2 linked regions of the Oryzias latipes genome follow. The protein of the gene in region 1 interacts with the protein of each later gene in a pairwise test. Links are inferred from orthologs where the notes say so. Each region holds a gene or a part of one and is shown on either strand. Other genes may lie near its edges.

Evidence for each region.
Region 2: the proteins of atpaf2 (region 1) and fsbp interact in binary tests that used the Homo sapiens proteins (3 or more experiments, as listed by UniProt). The two-hybrid records come from large-scale screens. The link is inferred for Oryzias latipes from reciprocal best matches to the Homo sapiens genes ATPAF2 and FSBP.

The regions. Positions count from the first base shown.
Region 1 is NC_019877.2:3,256,419-3,260,172, forward strand, and holds the start of atpaf2 (ATP synthase mitochondrial F1 complex assembly factor 2), read left to right. Parts: upstream 1-1,410; 5' UTR 1,411-1,654; coding exon 1,655-1,778; intron 1,779-1,864; coding exon 1,865-1,909; intron 1,910-2,006; coding exon 2,007-2,155; intron 2,156-2,236; coding exon 2,237-2,334; intron 2,335-3,754. Other genes in the region: gid4 (glucose-induced degradation protein 4 homolog), read right to left, coding at 1-59, 410-469, 855-1,046. UniProt on the Homo sapiens protein: Plays a role in the assembly of the F1 component of the mitochondrial ATP synthase (ATPase).
Region 2 is NC_019874.2:17,752,059-17,755,812, forward strand, and holds the start of fsbp (fibrinogen silencer-binding protein), read right to left. Parts: upstream 2,559-3,754; 5' UTR 649-2,558; coding exon 242-648; intron 1-241. Other genes in the region: DNA repair and recombination protein RAD54B, read right to left, coding at 3,637-3,754. UniProt on the Homo sapiens protein: Transcriptional repressor that down-regulates the expression of the fibrinogen gamma chain. Represses transcription of GSK3B gene promoter via its interaction with APBA1.

The DNA of each region.
Region 1 (3,754 bases):
AACGGCCTCTTCCTGCTGATGATCTCCCCGGCGAAAAAAGTGGTCAGGGTCGGATATTCCTACGAAAATGTGCAACTGGATTATACCAACAATCTTGTTTTGTAAACTTTACAGCGTTAAGGCTAGGTTATCGCTATGTATAAATCATTAATAGAAAATTAAGACGTTTAAAAATATTCTAAGCAAATCGATCCCTTAATTAAAAATATCTGCACTTCAGAGGCAGAACAAAACAAAAAACTATGTAGAATTATTTGGCTCACGATCAGTTGGACTAATATTTAGTCATTGCAAGAAAAATTACACAAAAGGTGGAGGAAAAACTTGCAAAAACATTTAAAATTCTAAGTCCAGTTCATCCACATGTACATATTCCAACATGAATCCTCTAAATATGAACAGAACTGACCTCTGTGAGTCCTTTTATTTTCAAATAGCCACACAAGTAGGAATCCTCCATTGTGACATGCTGTAACAAATAATAAACAGAACTTTTAGGTCAAATCTCCACTGAATTTATGTTAAAAAAAATAACAAAAACAAAACTTGACGGTCAGAAGCTGCAGTTTCTCAAAAAATGTCAACAGCCCCTAATGTTGCAACATTTAAGCTAGTTGTGATAGTTTGTGTTAATTTAAACTGGTAGAAAATTGTGCAGCTGGTTGTTGTTAGTCGGTGTTGTTTGGGCGCAGTTGCTCTGCTACTCCCACCACTACACCCACAGTTGGTCCAGGACAGGCCGGGACCCCCTTTTTTTTTCAGCTGTCACTCTTCCAGCCGCCACTTTGACACATCACCCGAAAGCCTCGCGCTCGCAGTACGAAAAGCAACATTTCCGCCTCGGTGCCCCCCACCTGTAAGACCACCTCAACGTCGTAGGAGTTCCCTTTGCTTTTCTGGTGGCCTCTGAACTTGGAGCCGCTGTACAGCAGCGACGTGACAACACCGGGCTGGTGAGTGTTTATCGGCGGCAGCGGGATAAGCGAGGCCGAGGATGCAAAGGCCGCGGCCGGGAACTCGCTGAGATATCCAGCGGGGACAGGCATAGCTCCAGCTTCGCAGGCTGAACTCCAACCGCGGTCAACGGCCGTGCGGCAGCGGGACTCGGTCAACCTGTACGACCAGCCAGAAAGAAAGTCCCGAGGAGGTCCTCAAACATTCAAATTGCTCTTAATTGCGCCACAGTTCAGTTTGCGAAGCATCAAGCTCCCCAGAACTAAAAGTGGACTTCGAAGCTGCGCTGTAACCAGTAGCAACGGCTTATCTCATTGGTCCAACAACTTCACCCTCGAAGATCGTCGACGCTCATTGGCTGAGCAGGCGGAAGAGTATTCGTGAACATTTTTGATGTAGTTTTTAAGTGATGTGTAAGCGTTAGCAGTGCCAAAAATAAACTACATTTCCCAAAGCATGCAATGAAAACATTTTGTAGCTTTGTAGCATCGAAGGTCACACGCGTGGTTTTGAACCGATGTGTTACTGTAAGCTAGATGAAAACCTTAATGTTTAACAACAGATTTATTGTAGAGTCAGGTTCATTATACACTCAAGATCTGTTTGTTCAATGTGGTACTTTAGTGCGTGAGAGACCGGCTTAAGAAATCGCTAGTGAATCGTCTTTTTTATTGTAAACAGTATACGTCCAAATTTAGGTATGAATATGTTTAGACGTGTTTTTCAACTTCGAAATTCCTTTGGAAATGTAATTTCAGTTTGCAAGTCGTGTCCCAGTCATCAGTACTCCAAGTGTTTGTCAAAATACTCCACTGCATCTACAGGTAAACGTGTTTATTTTGACATTACTATTATTAATTATCAATATGCTGTGTGCTAATCATGTGCTACATGTTTTGCTATTTGACAGAGAGGAAGAGATTTTATCAAGATGTCAGCATATCTCAAGGAGATGGTGAGTCTTATTTAAAATTTAAAATAATTTTATTTATTGTTCCAGGGAAGACCAAGATTGATTATATTCTCTAATTTTGTGACGATTTTGTCCATAGATGGTTTGTATGAAATAAATCTGGATAGAAGGAAACTCAAAACTCCAGGAGGGAAGCTGTTCACAGTACCAAATGAAGCCCTGGCTATCGCCGTGGCAACAGAGTGGGATGCTCAGAGGGGGACACTCAAGTTTTATACCATGCACCTTGTATGGGATATTTTTTCTGACCTATTTACACCACAGTGTGTAGCCAGCCGTACTCATATGCCGGTTGAACTTTTCTTGCAGACCACTTTGTGCAACACGGCTCTGGACAACCCCACCCAACGCAACAAGGAGCAAATGATCAATTCAGCGTTGAAGTTTTTGGAGACTGACACGATCTGGTATGGATTTAGCTTTTATACTGTTTCTGTCCAGAGTTGATGATTATTTGGCTCATTTATGCCGGTTACTCAGTTTAAAAGATAAAACACCTGTATTTCAAATCAATATTTTACTTGAATGGAGAAAAAATGTTCTTAATCTAGAGAGAAAAGCAACAAGGACTTCAAAATAAAAGCACCTAACAGAAATACCAAAACAATAGAAAATTCAAAATTAGGTTTGTTTAGATAAAAAGTACCCAAACAAATCCTGGACTTGTGAGATGCAACTACATCTAATATGTTTTTTTTTTTTTCTATTTCTCTTTGTAAAAAATAAAACGTTATCTGCCATTCTGTGCTCTTTTTTTGCAATTTTTTTTGCAAATAATAGTCAAAATGCAATTACTTTTTAGCTTTTTGAAAATGTTCGAACCTATTAATATAATTTAGACTTTTTTTTTCATTATTATAAATTATACTTGTATAATGAGATATATTGTTTAACTGTCAACTATGTATTAGATAATCCCTTTAGTTCTTTAAATTTATATATTACATATTTATTTATTTCCCTTGTCTTTTTAACTTTTTACACATATTTAAAAAAAACTTATTATCTTATTCAGAATTTAATTTAAACATTTTATTGTGGTCCTGAAATATTCAACTTCTTTACACTTGTCTGCTTAATTGTTTTATGGATACCTTAGTAGTTTTAGCAAACAGATTTGCATCAGTCTTTTATTTACAATTATTATGTTTTAGCTACTTTATTGTGTAGGTGTGAATTTGTAATACATTTATTGGCACTATATATCTTTTTACATTTTCTATTTACTTTAGCATATTAGCTTAGGATTTAGCAACGTTCACTTTCTTAATTTCTTTAGCTAATTAACAATTTTATTTTACTGTTTTTTTGTGTTGATCCTTTTGTTATTGTGATTATTATTAATAATTATGCAGTGTATTTTTAGTTATCTCCCTTTATTTGACTAATGTAGCATTTTGCACTAAACTGTAATGCCACTGTAAAAGAAAGCAGATGTTTTTAGCTTATTGCAGAAAACTAGCATTTTTGTTTATGGAAATAAAATAAAAGAAATGAATTTTGGAACTTCTATGAATTTCATATACTAGATATTTGCAGGAGAAACTTTTTTTTCTCGGTCCATTGTCAGATGATTCCAGACTCCAAAGCATTAAAAATAAAGAATTACTGTGAAAATGAATGCAACAAACTTTTTCTTTGACCTAATTTCTTTAATAGGACCATCATTGTCTGGCCAGTAAAGTGAAAGCAAGGTCTGTTTTGTTTTCACCGGAGATGGTTGCCATATACCTGACTGTGGAGCAGGCTGTGCTGCTCTCTTATAGCATCTGCCATTTGGCTGCCTCTTTTTTTTAAGTTTCATTTTCAGATTAAGTTACCTTGTTG
Region 2 (3,754 bases), on another chromosome or scaffold:
AATGATTTTAATGTTATGTCATCAAATTGACATTAGATAATTTAAAAACTTGTGTTTAATAATTATATACACCTAAAAAACAACTTAAATATGAAAAGAAATATTATAGAAGCATATCAAGATTAAAGTGACAATTCTCTGTGTTTGAGACATCTGAGTCAAACTGCTCTCTTTTTTTGTGTCCTCTTTAGATTCTTAAAGGTTTTGGTGTGTCTGAGAACAGGTGTAGGTCACAGCATACCTGCGCAGTGCCTGGTCCTTCTCATGGATGGGAACGTGGTGAAACAGGTGAGGAATCATCTCCATAATCCTCCTGGTTGGCTCGGAAATGCTGGCTCTGTACTCCGGCTGGGCGTGTCTCCTTTGCATCACTTCCTGTTTGGCCGACTCCTTTAGTCTCTTATAGAGGGTCCTGAGGCCTTGAGCGGTGCGGTGGGGTCTGTCTCCTCCCAAAGCATTGTACTGCTCAGCCACAGTGTCCCAGCACTTGTTCTTGTCCACAATGACCGCATGCTTGTTGGTGTGCTCCTCAAGGATGCGGATGTGTGGACATACCAGCTTCAACAGGTCCAGCTTCTCAGAGAGGGTGAAGTTGGAGGACCGAGCCTTTCCCACCATGCTGGACGGAAACATGGAGCTGGAAGCCATCTCATAGCATAATGGATTCAGATTGCGTCAGATCAGATGCTGTCACCCTTCTAAGAAACTCTACACTCAATGCGGTGGCTCTTTAATCCGTCCTGTTTTTAGTCCTTGCTGCCATCTTCCTTTGGTCCATAGATCTAACCCCCTCCATGTCTCATCTCCCCTCTCTGGTTTAAATGGTAAACTGTAGCTAACAGGTGCATGGCTTCACACACTGCTGGGTTCTCTCACAGCTACGCTGCACAACAAAAACAGGATGTGCTGCACACAATAAGAATCAGGCTTAACTAGGCCAGCCTCGCTTAGGCCCCCGCCTACTGCAGAGGGTTTTGGATGAATTCCTCCCAGCTTAGGCTGACGTAGCTAAGCTGCTTAAGCCCAGCCCGACCTACATACAGCCTGGTCTCTCTAAACCCCACACCAAGCTAAGCAGCACAGTCATATTGTCTGTACTGTCAAAATAAAATGGTAATAACATTCTGTTGTGCTTTTAGTGGAGATCAGACGGTCTCTAACTGCAATAAAAGAGGTTATTTGGTTTCAGAGTCTGTTATCTTTAGGACAGAGATGCTCTGAAGTAGAGCGAGTTTAACTCAATGAGCGGGGGACGGGGGGCGTGGGCTCACTGAGCATGCTCAGAACAGCAGCTTCTCTGCCCCGCCACGATTGTTGTTGCTGCACGTGCGGTCAGTTTCGAGCGGGGCATCACCAAACAGTCCGCCGAAGCACGTGGAAAACCGTGCAGACACGCGCCGCGTGGCTTCAGGACGTTCGTCTGATCCCGAGCACAGTCCTAATCTGGACCCAGCAGCTGCTCATTTACATAATGCTGGACCTGCTGCATCGACCCGCCCGCTCCAACAGACTCTTTCAGTGTAGAACAGTGATCACGTGACACCGTTTAAGGAGGGGAGATGTGTTTAGTCCCCCAAGATCTTTTTTTATTTAAACAAAAACATTCCGAGTGGTTTTCTATTTATGATTATAAAATTATAACAAAAATCCCACAACATAATTGTCTTAAAAAGCCACATTTCATGTTTGTCTTAAGCCTCCGTTTCCAAAATCTCCTCCACGTGGGCGTGGTCATTGGTGCTTAGCTGGTAGCCCCGCCCCTGACCCCTCCCCTTTCTGCAAGCTGTGTCTTCCATGAGTGAAGAGCTTGGCACAAGAGGGGGGGCACAAATGACAGACATAGAGGTGTTTCTCAGAAACGGTGAAGTGACATATTTTCTGTGTGTATCAGACCCTGCTGTATAATAAAATTACACACGAAAAATAACTTTTACTAGCCCATGAAAAATGCTTTGAATTACATTATAATTTAGGCTACATTGCACCAGCAACACTAGCTGTGGCTCAGAACTGTTTTAATATAGCACATGCAGATTGTTCAATTCACACCAAATACAATGAAATGCCTGAAAGAAAGTGACTATTCACACGTAATTTTCCAAATACGTGCAGCCAGTGCTGAAACTTTTTTCTTGGCCGCACGGACCCAGAGGAAGGGTTAAGTTTAGGAGCATGTCTTATGGATAGGGCAATGCTGTGTTCACACCGAACGCGAGTGGCGCGGCAGAGGCAGCCAGTTTTCAAAGTTAATTACATGGTAGAGACGCGTGCTGAGGTCCAGTGGTGTGATTTAAGCGACGGGTGTGGTGCAAAGGTCTGGCAGCAGCGCGATTTCAGCGGCGCTGTGCAATTTGATACCCGTCCGAACCAAATCACCAAACAGTACTACTGTCCTACACCTGGCTGTGGATCCTGCCTCTGGCTCGTCTCTGCTCTGCACCTGACCGTGTACCTCGTCTCTGCTCCTGCCCTGACACCTGGCTCTGGATCCTGTCTCCTGCTCGACTCTCGCCCCTTACTGTCCCCCCAACTCCGTCTGGATAAAGCTCGTCTGCTGGACTTTAAATATGTAGTTGTAGAGTTAGATAAGTTAATTCTTCTCTAAGAGTTCTGGTAAATCGCCTGTCCGTCCTGGGGGAGGATCCCTCCTTCATGGAGGCACCCCTGAGGTTTCTTCGTTTTTTCCGGAGTCCGTTTTTTTTAGGAGTTTTTCCTTACCGTGAAAGGGGTTTAAGGGCAGGGATGCCAGTATAGCTTAGTCAGTTTGTTAGTTCATTTTAGAATTTTCCTATTGAACTCTTTGTATTCATGATCCTTTTGAGTTCATGTTTCACTTTTTCAATTACCGATACTAAGCCCATCGAGACGACTGTTGTTGTGAATTTGGGCTATACAAATAAAATTGAATTGAATTGAACAGTACCTGTAACGGTTATGCTGGGCGAAGGTGTGTACACCCTGGACAGTCTGTCCCAGGAGGTGAGACGTCATGTCATTGACTAAAAGCGTTAGCAATGTCTATAAGATCAATACCAAATCCAGTATTAGTTCTAATTAGATCTGTCAGCTTTAATGGTAATTTGAATGTTTAAGCATTGTTTTCTAAAACCTTTTGGAAGTATGTGTGTGTATGTGTCTGTAAAGTTTTGTAAGGGACATGCTTATGTTGGTGGAGCAGGTTAGAGAAAAAAAGCCAAATTGTTTTCCCATTATTATGATAATTAAGGAAATACAAGTGATAAGTTTAAACAAAGTAAATATATATTGTTGATGCTGATGATGAATAAATTCTACAGTTTAGCTGAAAGTGTTATATAAAGTAAATTCAGATATTATTTAATTCCGTCAAGCATATTATTTTACAACACTGACATCTTTTCAGTAGATAAATTAAACTTGTATGTCAGACTGAATAAAAAGTGCTGTATGAAACACACAAACTGGGTTGCAAAATATGTTTACCTGAAGAGTCAGATCAAAACCACCAAAAAACAAAAATTAAGTATAAAAATAAAGGGCAAAAAAAAAATTCTACTGTAGACCAGAGGGACTATTTTACTGATGACTCCCCAAAACATTAGGATACAACAGAAGTAGTACTGCCTTATAAATTTACACAAACAATTAGAAACATACCTTTATTTTCATCTTCTGTTAAATCTCTTAATCCAGGGACGGATTTGGTGTCAGCCTCGTTTTCTTTACTGTCAGTAGCACTGAGAACTCGAGCCAGAGCCCGTGACAAAGGGGCAGT